Drosophila melanogaster: one gene and its partner. The protein of the gene in region 2 binds, or shares a complex with, the protein of the main gene of each other region. Each region holds a gene or a part of one and is shown on either strand. Other genes may lie near its edges.

Evidence for each region. Proteins that work in one complex are often made in the same cells at the same time.
Region 1: Rad9 (region 2) and Hus1-like share a complex: the UniProt entries of both Drosophila melanogaster proteins name them as parts of the 9-1-1 checkpoint clamp complex.

The regions. Positions count from the first base shown.
Region 1 is NT_033777.3:4,807,783-4,813,737, forward strand, and holds Hus1-like (Hus1-like), read right to left. Parts: upstream 4,315-5,955; 5' UTR 4,201-4,314; exon of another isoform or gene 3,662-4,200; intron 3,006-3,661; exon of another isoform or gene 2,890-3,005; intron 1,493-2,889; 5' UTR 1,478-1,492; coding exon 641-1,477; 3' UTR 554-640; downstream 1-553. UniProt on the Drosophila melanogaster protein: Component of the 9-1-1 checkpoint clamp complex. Involved in both meiotic and somatic DNA damage responses.
Region 2 is NT_037436.4:18,869,492-18,874,111, forward strand, and holds Rad9 (Rad9), read right to left. Parts: upstream 3,063-4,620; 5' UTR 2,994-3,062; coding exon 2,960-2,993; intron 2,904-2,959; coding exon 2,677-2,903; intron 2,623-2,676; coding exon 2,471-2,622; intron 2,363-2,470; coding exon 1,507-2,362; coding exon of another isoform or gene 1,405-1,506; exon of another isoform or gene 1,362-1,404; coding exon of another isoform or gene 1,290-1,361; coding exon 1,188-1,289; coding exon of another isoform or gene 1,123-1,187; intron 1,070-1,122; coding exon of another isoform or gene 937-1,069; intron 880-936; coding exon of another isoform or gene 817-879; 3' UTR 554-816; downstream 1-553. Other genes in the region: Grx1 (glutaredoxin 1), read left to right, coding at 12-155, 216-320, 386-481; Blos3 (biogenesis of lysosome-related organelles complex 1, subunit 3), read left to right, coding at 817-879, 937-1,069, 1,123-1,361; Uggt (UDP-glucose-glycoprotein glucosyltransferase), read left to right, coding at 3,459-3,687, 3,871-4,620. UniProt on the Drosophila melanogaster protein: Component of the Rad9-Rad1-Hus1 (9-1-1) checkpoint clamp complex.

The DNA.
Region 1 (5,955 bases), on a different chromosome or scaffold from region 2:
ATGCACACTCATGCAAGTGCATGGGCAATCCAGCTGAGCGAGTAAAATAGAGCCTCTGAGAGAGAACGCGAAATGGGGCCACGGCTGCTGACGAATGTGGGACAGGCAGCGAAGAGCGACGATAAAAAGAGCCGCCCCAACTTTCGTTCACTGATAAGGCCCGATATCGTTTAGGCAAACATTACTACTTGCAAACGACGTGAAAGGTTGCTTCTCTCCAAGAATTATTAGGTACATTCAAAAATGTATTGAAGATTTTTACTCAACATTCAAGTAATGCATCAATAGCCAAAAGGGTCCTAGCGAACTAAATTTTAAAATAAATATGCAAGAAGAAACAAACAGCGCTGGTAATGTGTTTTTATATACATACATATGTAAATAAATAAATATGACCCGCAGAATATCGTAGAACGTGTTCAATCCTGCTAGATTTACTAACAAGAAAAATTCTACATTAGTTGTAAAAGAGATAATTGTTCAAGCGATAACGCATGATGATGCGGATAGGGTCGCAAAAAGATAATTTAAATTAACATCGACGAGTTTTTCTGGAAAAGAATTAAGTGAGAACGTTTATTACACCTGAATACATCAAGTCGCATTTATTACAGCTATGATAAACATACCAGCTCTTAGGCTACATACAAACAGCTGGCAGAATAGAGTGCAGAACCACATCCTGTCGTACATCGATCTGCAGATGGATGGAATGCTCACGGTCAATGCCAATAGTCAGTTCTTCGTTAGGGAGTTGAAGTGCTCCAAAGAAGGCCGAGGCTTTCCTTGAATCCACAGAGCAGGACGCTTCCTGCTGGGATCCTGACACAGTTCGAATTAGTAATTTCTGGAATCGACTAGTCACAGTGGACATTTCAGAGGTGGCTATTACATTGAGCTCTCCGTCCACGTTGACCTGAAACTCCAGGCTGGGTGATATATTCTTCAGCTTGTCAATGAGACTTTTGAGCAATCTTAGGCTTGGTAGGCCCAAAGCCAACTGTGAGTTTGGAACTCTGGGTACAACGTAGGCAGACCAATCGCTGCCCGGGATTATGGTCACTGGAACATCGTGCACCACTTCACGGGCTTCTGTTGAAGACGACGTAAGCACCGAGGCTATTACCGAAATGCACGGAAACTGAATTCTTTGAAGCTTCAGTTTGCAGCTGTTTACGCCTCCACCACGAAGCACAGATAAAGCTCTTCCGAGATTCGCCGAAGACACGCCTAGAACTATGTACTCCTGATCCGGGTGAGCAGCCTCCATGCGATACTCCGGAAAATACTCCTCAGCTGTAATTCCTGCCCAAACCAAGGGCGATGCAGCGGAGCTCTGATCCTCGTTCACGATAAAATGCATCTGCCGAGAGCCCAGAATCATCACACAATCTTTCGCCAGCTTGGTTAAAGTGGCCACAATGGCCTGGAACTCTTTCATGTACAGCGGATCCTGCATCAGTGCGCGGAACTTCATCTTGTCAGCAAAGAACTGTACAAGATCAGAGCAGGATCGTAATGATCAGGAAATAAAGGGAGAAAAAAGAACAAAAAACAGAGTCAAGCCGGGCAACCAAAAACTAAAAAGGCATCCAAATCTACGCAGCGTTCCCTTAGGGTTGCCGTTCGCTAAATCTCAAATATTATACAAAATAGTTTTCATTTTCCATATAACCATAGCGCTGAGACTGAAATCTGGGCTATCCAATAACTGTAGAATTCGCAATTGTTAAAAATGCAACAATGCATAATGGTCATTGCAATATTTTGATTTATTATAAAAATCGATTTGTATGGAACAGGGGAAAAAGAGCTAACCCAAGCTCAATATTTCAGATGTTCAACAGTTTATAGTACACCCTAATTCAGAGGAATTGCATTAAATGCCATTTGTTAGCACTAATCCTATTTGAGACGACCCAATCAGTCAGTTGATATTTCGAATAAACTGTTTTGCCATTCTCGTAATATTTCATTCTTAGGAATTACACGGATTATTTATTTTTTGATCGGAGTCATTTACGTCCCACTCACTTAACATTTTAGGTAAGTCTTGGATCTGGGATGGACGTCATCTGGGTCAGCAGACGAAGCAACCTGATCAAAGGGTTCTAAGTTGGGATGAAGACGACGAATACGAGACGACTTCGGGACCCCTTTTCGGGTGGTTAATGAGGTGTGTGGACTACGGCACCAGAGGGAGGGGATGGGTCGGTTATCCGACTTGGTCTCCACTCGTTCTCACTCTTTTCTTTTCTTCTCGAGTTCGAATTTTTGAGTTCAATGTACAAAGGCGCACACACACACGGGCGCCAGCGAACCCACACACACAGCACACTCGCTCGTCCATCGCACATACACACGGCGAATGATGAAAACGGAAGAGGGAGGGGGAAGGGAAAGAAGAGCCAGGCAAACAAAGCGCAGAGCGAGTTCCGAGTTGTGTTTTGGCTCTTCTTTTCATTTATTTATTTGTATTTTTGTTGGTGGGCGAAGCGGTGAGCAGAGAGCAGGCTAAACGAAACGGAGCTCGACGAAATGAAGCACGCAGTCAGATACAAAGACTGCCTCGTTCTCCTTGCACACAAAGTCATCAAACGACAGACAGGATTTGTACGGCTCAAGTGTAGGGGCGGCTCCAGGGTTGGCTCCCGGGGCGGGGAGGGTGTTGCCAGGGGGCTCCGGGGGCGGAAATCAAATTATATCCCGTCTAGGGGGTCAAAATATTTCCTTTCGCAGTTCAATCAACCTTCAAGGTTATTGATAATGAAAATGAGCTCAAACGTTTATGCGTGGCAGAGTGGTTAGTGGATAACAAGAAATTTGGCAGTACCTCAGCGATTTTCCATTTGCTTTTAAGAGTTCTTTCAGAAATGAACTGGTACTTACCATATTTTGTTCTTTCCATACACATGGGTTGTTTGAGTTGCTGTATAAGTTGACAAAGCTAGTAATACTATGGCATCAGGAATGAAGGAAGCATACAAAAACTGATGTAATAATCCCTAAAATTCAGAAAAAGTACGTCACTGAGTTCTCCGGGTTGAGTTTTGTTCAGTGCAATGAGGGCTATTTTATGACATTTAGTAGGCCTTTTAGGAAGGGCAACTCTAGCTCGCACGACAGTGCTGCCTATTTGGCAATCAGCTGTTTATTTTTTCTCTTTAAAAATTGACCTATGACGTCACAGCAGCATAGCGAATTTCACAAAGAAGCGAAAAAAAATAATGGCTACACAAATATGTATATATATGTATCTGCTTTCTTGCTGAAACCCTCGCGTCATTGAAACGTATCTAAACGTATGTATCTATGTACATATGTACGTTAACAATTAAATATTAAAATTCAAACAAATGCTGGAGAGGGGAGGAAAGAATATTAAAGTGCTGAAAAGAGGCCAAAAATTGATCAGAAAATAAATATGCTGAGAATAAGAAACGTGATTGCCTTGCAGTCTCACTCACTAACTCACACACACTCACTCTAAATACATACATACATGCTAGCATGGATGGAGCACCACCCGCTGAAGTTTGCAGCATAAATAAAAGAGAAAGTAAAACTAAACAAGATGCGCTCGACCCCCACCCACCCCTTATCAAATAAAAGAAAATACCAACTCGAATAGAATAAAAAGACACACATACGTATTCATCAGTGGATAACCTACACGAAAGACGATCAAAATTGATTTGCGAGAAAATTCTATTCGTAAATTTATCAACTAACTATTTGGAAAATCATTCATTTGGAATTGTAATCACCTATGCACTTTGGTATAAGCTTTTCTGTGCACATTTTCCTGGAAAATGAATGAGACTCCTCGGCAGCCATTGTAAAAATCAATATTGGAGATTGCCCTCAGAAAAAAGTGCACTTAAACCCAGATGTCACTCAATCAAAAACTTCTAATTGGGAAAGCACAAATTTACCACACTTTTCCGAGCCTTCGAAAGGCATAAACCTTCACAAATCGGTGGGAAAAAGTAATAGAGGAAAATACAATTCGGTCGACATTTTGTTTTCCGTCTCGCTGGTGCCTATTTGAAACGTAAGCGTGTGTATGTGTGCGTATGTGTATCTCGTCTGAGCTCGGAGCCCCATAAAATCAGTGGTCAAATTACTTCTTCGTATCGCCATAGGCTCGCCTTTGCAAAGCTTTTTGGTCTCCATGGCGTCCGCAGCAGTCGCACTTACCTTTCAACCAAATGCAGAAGTTTTCTCTAAGTATGCACAGTTTTTATACACTCAGCAATTTTCACACGCGACGGAAAACAATGTGCACCAGTGAGACCGCGTCTTGCTACGAACGACTATCGACATCGAAAACCGATAACGATACCGATGGGGAATGCTTTGTTTATTTGAATGTGAACGATGCATTTGGGGCCTTCCGTTACCTTCGCCGCAGACCGCATTTGGTTTGTAGGCGATATGCATGGTAATTATAATTATAGTGATTTAATTAATTACAATTATAATTGTATTAATGTATACAGAAGTATACTTTATACATAAACTTACATTGAGTTGCGTTTTCAAGAATAAGTATTGCGAAACTTTTAAGTAAGCTATAAAAAGCTGAATTTCTACTGTACATTTTAGGATTTTCTTTTTGATATATTTTGAAATGTAGGGAATAGTCAAAACAGTAATGCCGTTGAAACCTTAGAAACCATCAACCCGTTTTGCTCTCTACAATATTATTCGGGAATGCTCCGGTAATCGAATTCGTAAGAAAATTTTAATTTGTAAAACGGCCTTTTAAAAAGTAAATGCCTTTTTTATATCAAATCAGATCTTATTAACTAAGGGGAAAAAATAGTTTGCTGGTCTATTGATATTTATTAATTGATGTTTATGTTCCACATCACCATAAGATCATTTTTAGACTTAGTTATATTAAACAAAAGTAATTTCTGACCCCACCTGAAATTTGACAAACAAAATTTTGCAGTTGGCAACAAAAAGTTTCGATTTGGCAAGTGTTCATAATTATGTCGACAAAAGCTATCAGGAAGACTGCTATACTATTGGTGAAACAATACAGTATAAACAGTATAAATGCATATAAGATGTAATGAAAAAAAATTCGTAATTAATTTAAAGGAGGGTCGAAAGTACTGTTCGTAAATAATACTATTTAATTTAATTACTTAAATGGACAAAGTGCAGTGCGAACATCGGAACTAAAACTGTGAAAAAATTGGTCGCTCCATTGTCTGGAATACAGCTTAGACATCTGTTTCCTGTTTACAAAACATTCCGATCGCAAAAATTCCGCGAAAACCCGAGCACCTAAAAACGAAGTCGAAAGATTTTGCCAAATCGTAATCGAAAAAATATTACTATTACCGGAACATGCCTGATTGTGGTCTTTAGATAGGTTATTTAATTTAAATTAAACTGAAAAGTATTTTTTAAGATTCTTCAATTTAACAAGAAATGAATTTTAATAAATTTTATTAATTTAGCGTAAAATGTTCGGTGGAATCCGGCTATCAGCGCTGCTGCGAGTGGGACGAAGCGCAATCATCGCCATCTTCCGATAGTGTTATCCCAACTTTGCCAGCTCGGTTTTTATTTACTTTCCTGTGCGGCGAGTTTACTCATAAAACAAATGATAATAAAATACACAAAGACCATATTGAATGTTCAATGACAAGATCGATATTCCTAAGCCTTGAAAACGTCCATCTAAAACTAATAGAAACTATTATTGTTTTGGGACAGGCAAGTGCATCCAACCAGAAGCACAAAGGTTCTTATCACGAAAAAAGACAATTCCAAAAACAACAACAAGGAAATAGATAGCGCAACAAGGTGAGTAAACAATAAACTAAAGACAACCAACTGAGTCACTCACTTGCCTTCGTCGATTGCAGTTGTTTGACCGCTGAAACGGAATCTCGTTGTACGGAGAAAGTCTCGAGAACTTTAAGGTGTGACGTG
Region 2 (4,620 bases):
ATTTCGAGCTTATGGGTGCAGTTGGATCCGCTTTGAGATCCCCAATAGTCGACATGTCCACCAAGCAGGCGAAATTCGTTGAAAACACCATTGCCAGCAACAAAGTGGTGATATTCAGCAAGACCTACTGTCCCTACTGCACGATGGCCAAAGAGGTGAGAAAGTTGCGAGACCTTGAAAAGTCCCAAACAGTGATAAACATCTTTGCGTTCCAGCCCTTCAAAAAGCTCAATGTGGACGCCACCATAATAGAACTCGATGGAAATCCCGATGGCAACGAAATTCAGGCAGTTCTGGGCGAGATTACCGGTGCCAGAACGGTGGGTGCACTAAATATTTTACATTATAAAGATTAATTATCATTTGTAACCTGTGTACTGTGTAGGTTCCCCGCGTCTTTATCGATGGCAAATTCATTGGCGGTGGCACTGACATCAAACGAATGTTCGAGACAGGAGCTCTGCAAAAATATTTCCAATAAATAGTGTTCTTACTCTGTTCAGAACTCCGTTTTATGTAAAAAGTTTGTTAATCTTCAAAGTCCTTAATAAATGCTTTTAAAATTTATGTTTTGCGCTTATTGAGATTACATCGTCTTCTGAGTAATGGGCAAAGTGTTACTAATACCATTCATTATCCGTTAATAATTTTTATGATTGTAGTTCTACGGATCTGTTAGCATAGATATCACAAACATAAGAATATCCCCTTCAACTGCGCCCATGTGAGCAACAGTTTGCAGTTTTAACTGATCTGGCAGCGCCGTAACTGCAGTAAATAAAAAATTGTTTACAATAGTATTTAATAAACTGAATGATGGCTGATTTGGTGAGCGGTGAAGCTTCTGAATCCGACGAGGAGCTGCAGGAGAAGAATAAGGTTGTTGAGGATATCATTTATAAATAACAGTCCAATAATAAAACCATTTTGTGACAGATTTTTGCTGCTGAAATTTCGGGCGAAGCCTCCGAAGAGGATGATGAAGACATTTACGAGCAAGGCCGAAGCAGCAACCAGGTCAACAGCACGGCTTCCATTTACCGGAATAATCTGCTTCAGCGGAAACTAAGTATGTCACCAATTCTGTGCCTTCAAACATTTCAACTTAATGCCCTTTTCCAGTCGAAAACAACATTGCCATTTGGAGATCCCTTACCGCTTTCACTCGCAGCTTTGTGTTGAGTGCATCAAAGCAGCTCGTAACCACTGATCAAATGCTCATCAAGTCGCAACATAGTCTTCAGTCGGCTCACACATCCCTGCAGCAGGCCCAGAAGAACGCCCAGGACCTGCAAAACAGGGTGGCTGATGTTATTACCAGCAACTTCCTCCCGCACATAAGCATCCAGAAGGCAACCTGACTTAGACGTATAGTGTATTTGCTGATAAACGATCAAATCTAGGCTAATCCTCTGTATCGGAATTGGGCGCATAGACCTGAGTGTTGGGTGAGGGCTCCCGCGGCACGTAGGTCCTCTGAAAGCAACGTGAGAAGATGGTTCGCACCTTGTTAGGGCGCTCAGGTGACTGGGGTATAGTTTCGTCCTCGTCGGAGGAGCTTTTCGCAGGTTTAGGTTGTTGAGAGTCGTCTGTGTTGATAAAGCAAACCTCCGTGCTGTTCGGCGGCTCTGGAGCAGGTGCCATGCTGGCCTCCAAAGCGGCATCCGCGGCTGCCAGCATGAGAGCCTCTTGTTCCGCCTCATCTTCAATCAGAACCACAGTGTCCACCTCGGCTAGGATGCGAGGGTGCTGAACAGATGGCGCCTCCGAGTCCCGGAACTGAAACAGTGGATTATCTAGGCTCGATTCTAATTGGGTCTCCTCAACTCGCCGTTTTGGCTGCACTGCAGCCGGTTCCGAAGAGCTGCCTTTGCGTTTGTTGGTCACATTCGGCTTCGAAACGCTGCTCTTTCGCTTTGCGGCCGCCGCTCGTACATCCTCATCCTGCACTGTCAGATCCTTTTGACAATAATCTTCCGAGAAGCTTATATCATCGGGGGATAGCGTGGACATGATCAGCAAGCATTCAATCTCGCCATGCTTCTTAATTTTGAGCAGGAAAGGCATGCCCGCTTCGTCGAACTCCAGGGTCAGCGAAGCATTTAAGCACTCGGCGAAGAGGAGAAATGCTCGGAATTCCTTAATGCAGAATGTAATGACCGTCTCCTTCGTTACCTGGTACTGCTCAAATTCACTGGGCTTAAGTTTCAGCTGCGTGCGCATGAACTTATCATTAACTCGGGCTCCTTCTATGTAGTTTTTGGCCACCACACTGCCCGAGTTTGCCTCCAAAGTAAGTTCCTCCTCTGAGGAGTTAAAGTTATTGGATATATCCGTCAACAGCTTGTGATCGCCACGGATTCTGAAATGTTGAGTAGTAAATTCGGATTTATATGGGCATAGTTGTTTTAAGAGAAATAAGGTAAGGAGATAAACTTAATAGTTATCCTTAACACAAACCAAAACTCACATATTCGGCATCTGATCGGTGTTAATGTTTGTGTTAATGTTTTGGTCGTCTATGATGGAAATGGTGGCCTCCTTTGTGGTCTCCAGCTTACAGCGGAGATTCACCTGCAGGTTGGTCTGGTTGTCCAGCAAGTTGAGTTCACAGTACTCCACCTGGAACATAATATTCTTAACAACTAATCCCAGTGAGCAGACTTTCGAACTTACCTCATTCATGTTGCGGAACACGGCCAAACATCCCTTCATGGAGATCTTGCAGTAGAAATCTGAGTGCGGCGGCATGTCATACACTTCGAACATGGATCTTTTGAACGATATGCTGCCCACTGCGGATTGGGTGGCATTTATGGCCCGCATCTGCAAGGATTGCTGGTCGATCTCGATGAACATCTCCTTGCCCACCTTGGACAGCGATTGTACGGCTTTGGCGATGACTTAAAAAATGAATTCTTTTAGTTATCAATATATTTTGCTGTTTATTATGTGGTACCTCTTGCATTGCTGCCCTCTAAAGTGTATTTCATTGGCAATATTTGCACTATGTTTTTGGTCGCGAAATTCGCGCTGAAATTTGTAAACAAACAAATTAGAGTGATAGTAGTCGCACAACAGGTATGAAAAATACCAACAAAGGAATTTAGTTACCCATTTATGCATTTTGAAGTAAGTATGTACTATTTTTATATTTCAATAATTTCTTTTATAATTTAAAGCAAAATATTTCCATATTGACAATTGTCCGTAAAATAAATAAATTTAAATAAGTTCTTCAACCCGATGTAGTTCCAATGTAGTCTGGTCACACTGCGGCATGCCGGTTCATCAACGAACGCCACATCAGTTCTAAATCAAATTAAGAAAAACTGGGCTAAAACCAGCCGAAAACTGGTGAAAAGTAAAATATTTGGAGAAGGAAAGCCTTAAGTTCCTCTCTACGCTTAGTATACGTAATGTGCGTGGTTTAATCTACGTTAAAACAAGTGGAAACCATGTTACGTGCCGTGGCTTTGTGTGTGTCTGTGGTGCTCATAGCACTATATACGCCAACTTCTGGGGAATCCAGTCAGAGCTATCCCATCACCACGCTAATCAACGCGAAATGGACGCAGACGCCCCTATATCTGGAAATCGCCGAGTATCTGGCCGATGAGCAGGCGGGCCTCTTCTGGGATTACGTTTCGGGGGTGACCAAGTTGGACACGGTTCTCAACGAATATGGTTTGTGTTTATAAGTCATGGAGAACCCGCATTAAAGAGCTTTTATATTCTCCTCAATGTGAATCGAATCCATATAAAATCAAGTAATGGTTCGGAATATAAAATCACCTATTCCCAAAGCCCTATAATGTGATCTTTTCCCAAAGGGTAATTTATTTTTCTGATTACGTTTTCGCTTTTCAGATACCGAGTCGCAACAGTACAATGCCGCCTTGGAGCTGGTCAAGAGCCATGTGAGTTCTCCCCAATTGCCCCTGCTTAGGCTGGTGGTATCCATGCATAGCTTGACGCCCCGGATCCAGACCCACTTCCAGTTGGCCGAGGAACTGAGGAGCAGTGGCTCTTGTCAGAGCTTTACTTTTGCCCAGGTGGGTTCCGAACTGGCCTGCAGCTTTAACGAGCTGCAGAAGAAGCTGGAAGTGCCGCTCGCCAAGGATAGCTTGGATGCTTCTGTTGTCACCTACAGCTTTGATCACATTTTCCCTGGCAGTGAGAACAATACCCGCACTGTGGTACTATACGGCGATTTGGGAAGCTCTCAATTCCGCACCTATCACAAACTATTGGAAAAGGAAGCCAATGCTGGCCGGATTCGTTACATCTTGCGTCATCAATTGGCCAAGAAGGACAAGCGACCGGTACGACTTTCGGGCTATGGAGTGGAACTCCATCTGAAGTCAACGGAATACAAGAGTCAGGATGATGCTCCAAAGCCCGAAGCTGGTTCCACTTCTGATGAGGATTTGGCTAATGAATCGGACGTCCAGGGCTTTGATTTCAAGGTGCTGAAGCAGAAGCATCCTACACTTAAGAGAGCGCTGGATCAACTGCGTCAGAGGCTTCTTCAGGGAAACGATGAGATCGCCCAATTGAAAGCATGGGAGTTCCAGGATTTGGGTCTCCAGGCGGCCGCTGCTATTGCAGAAATACAGG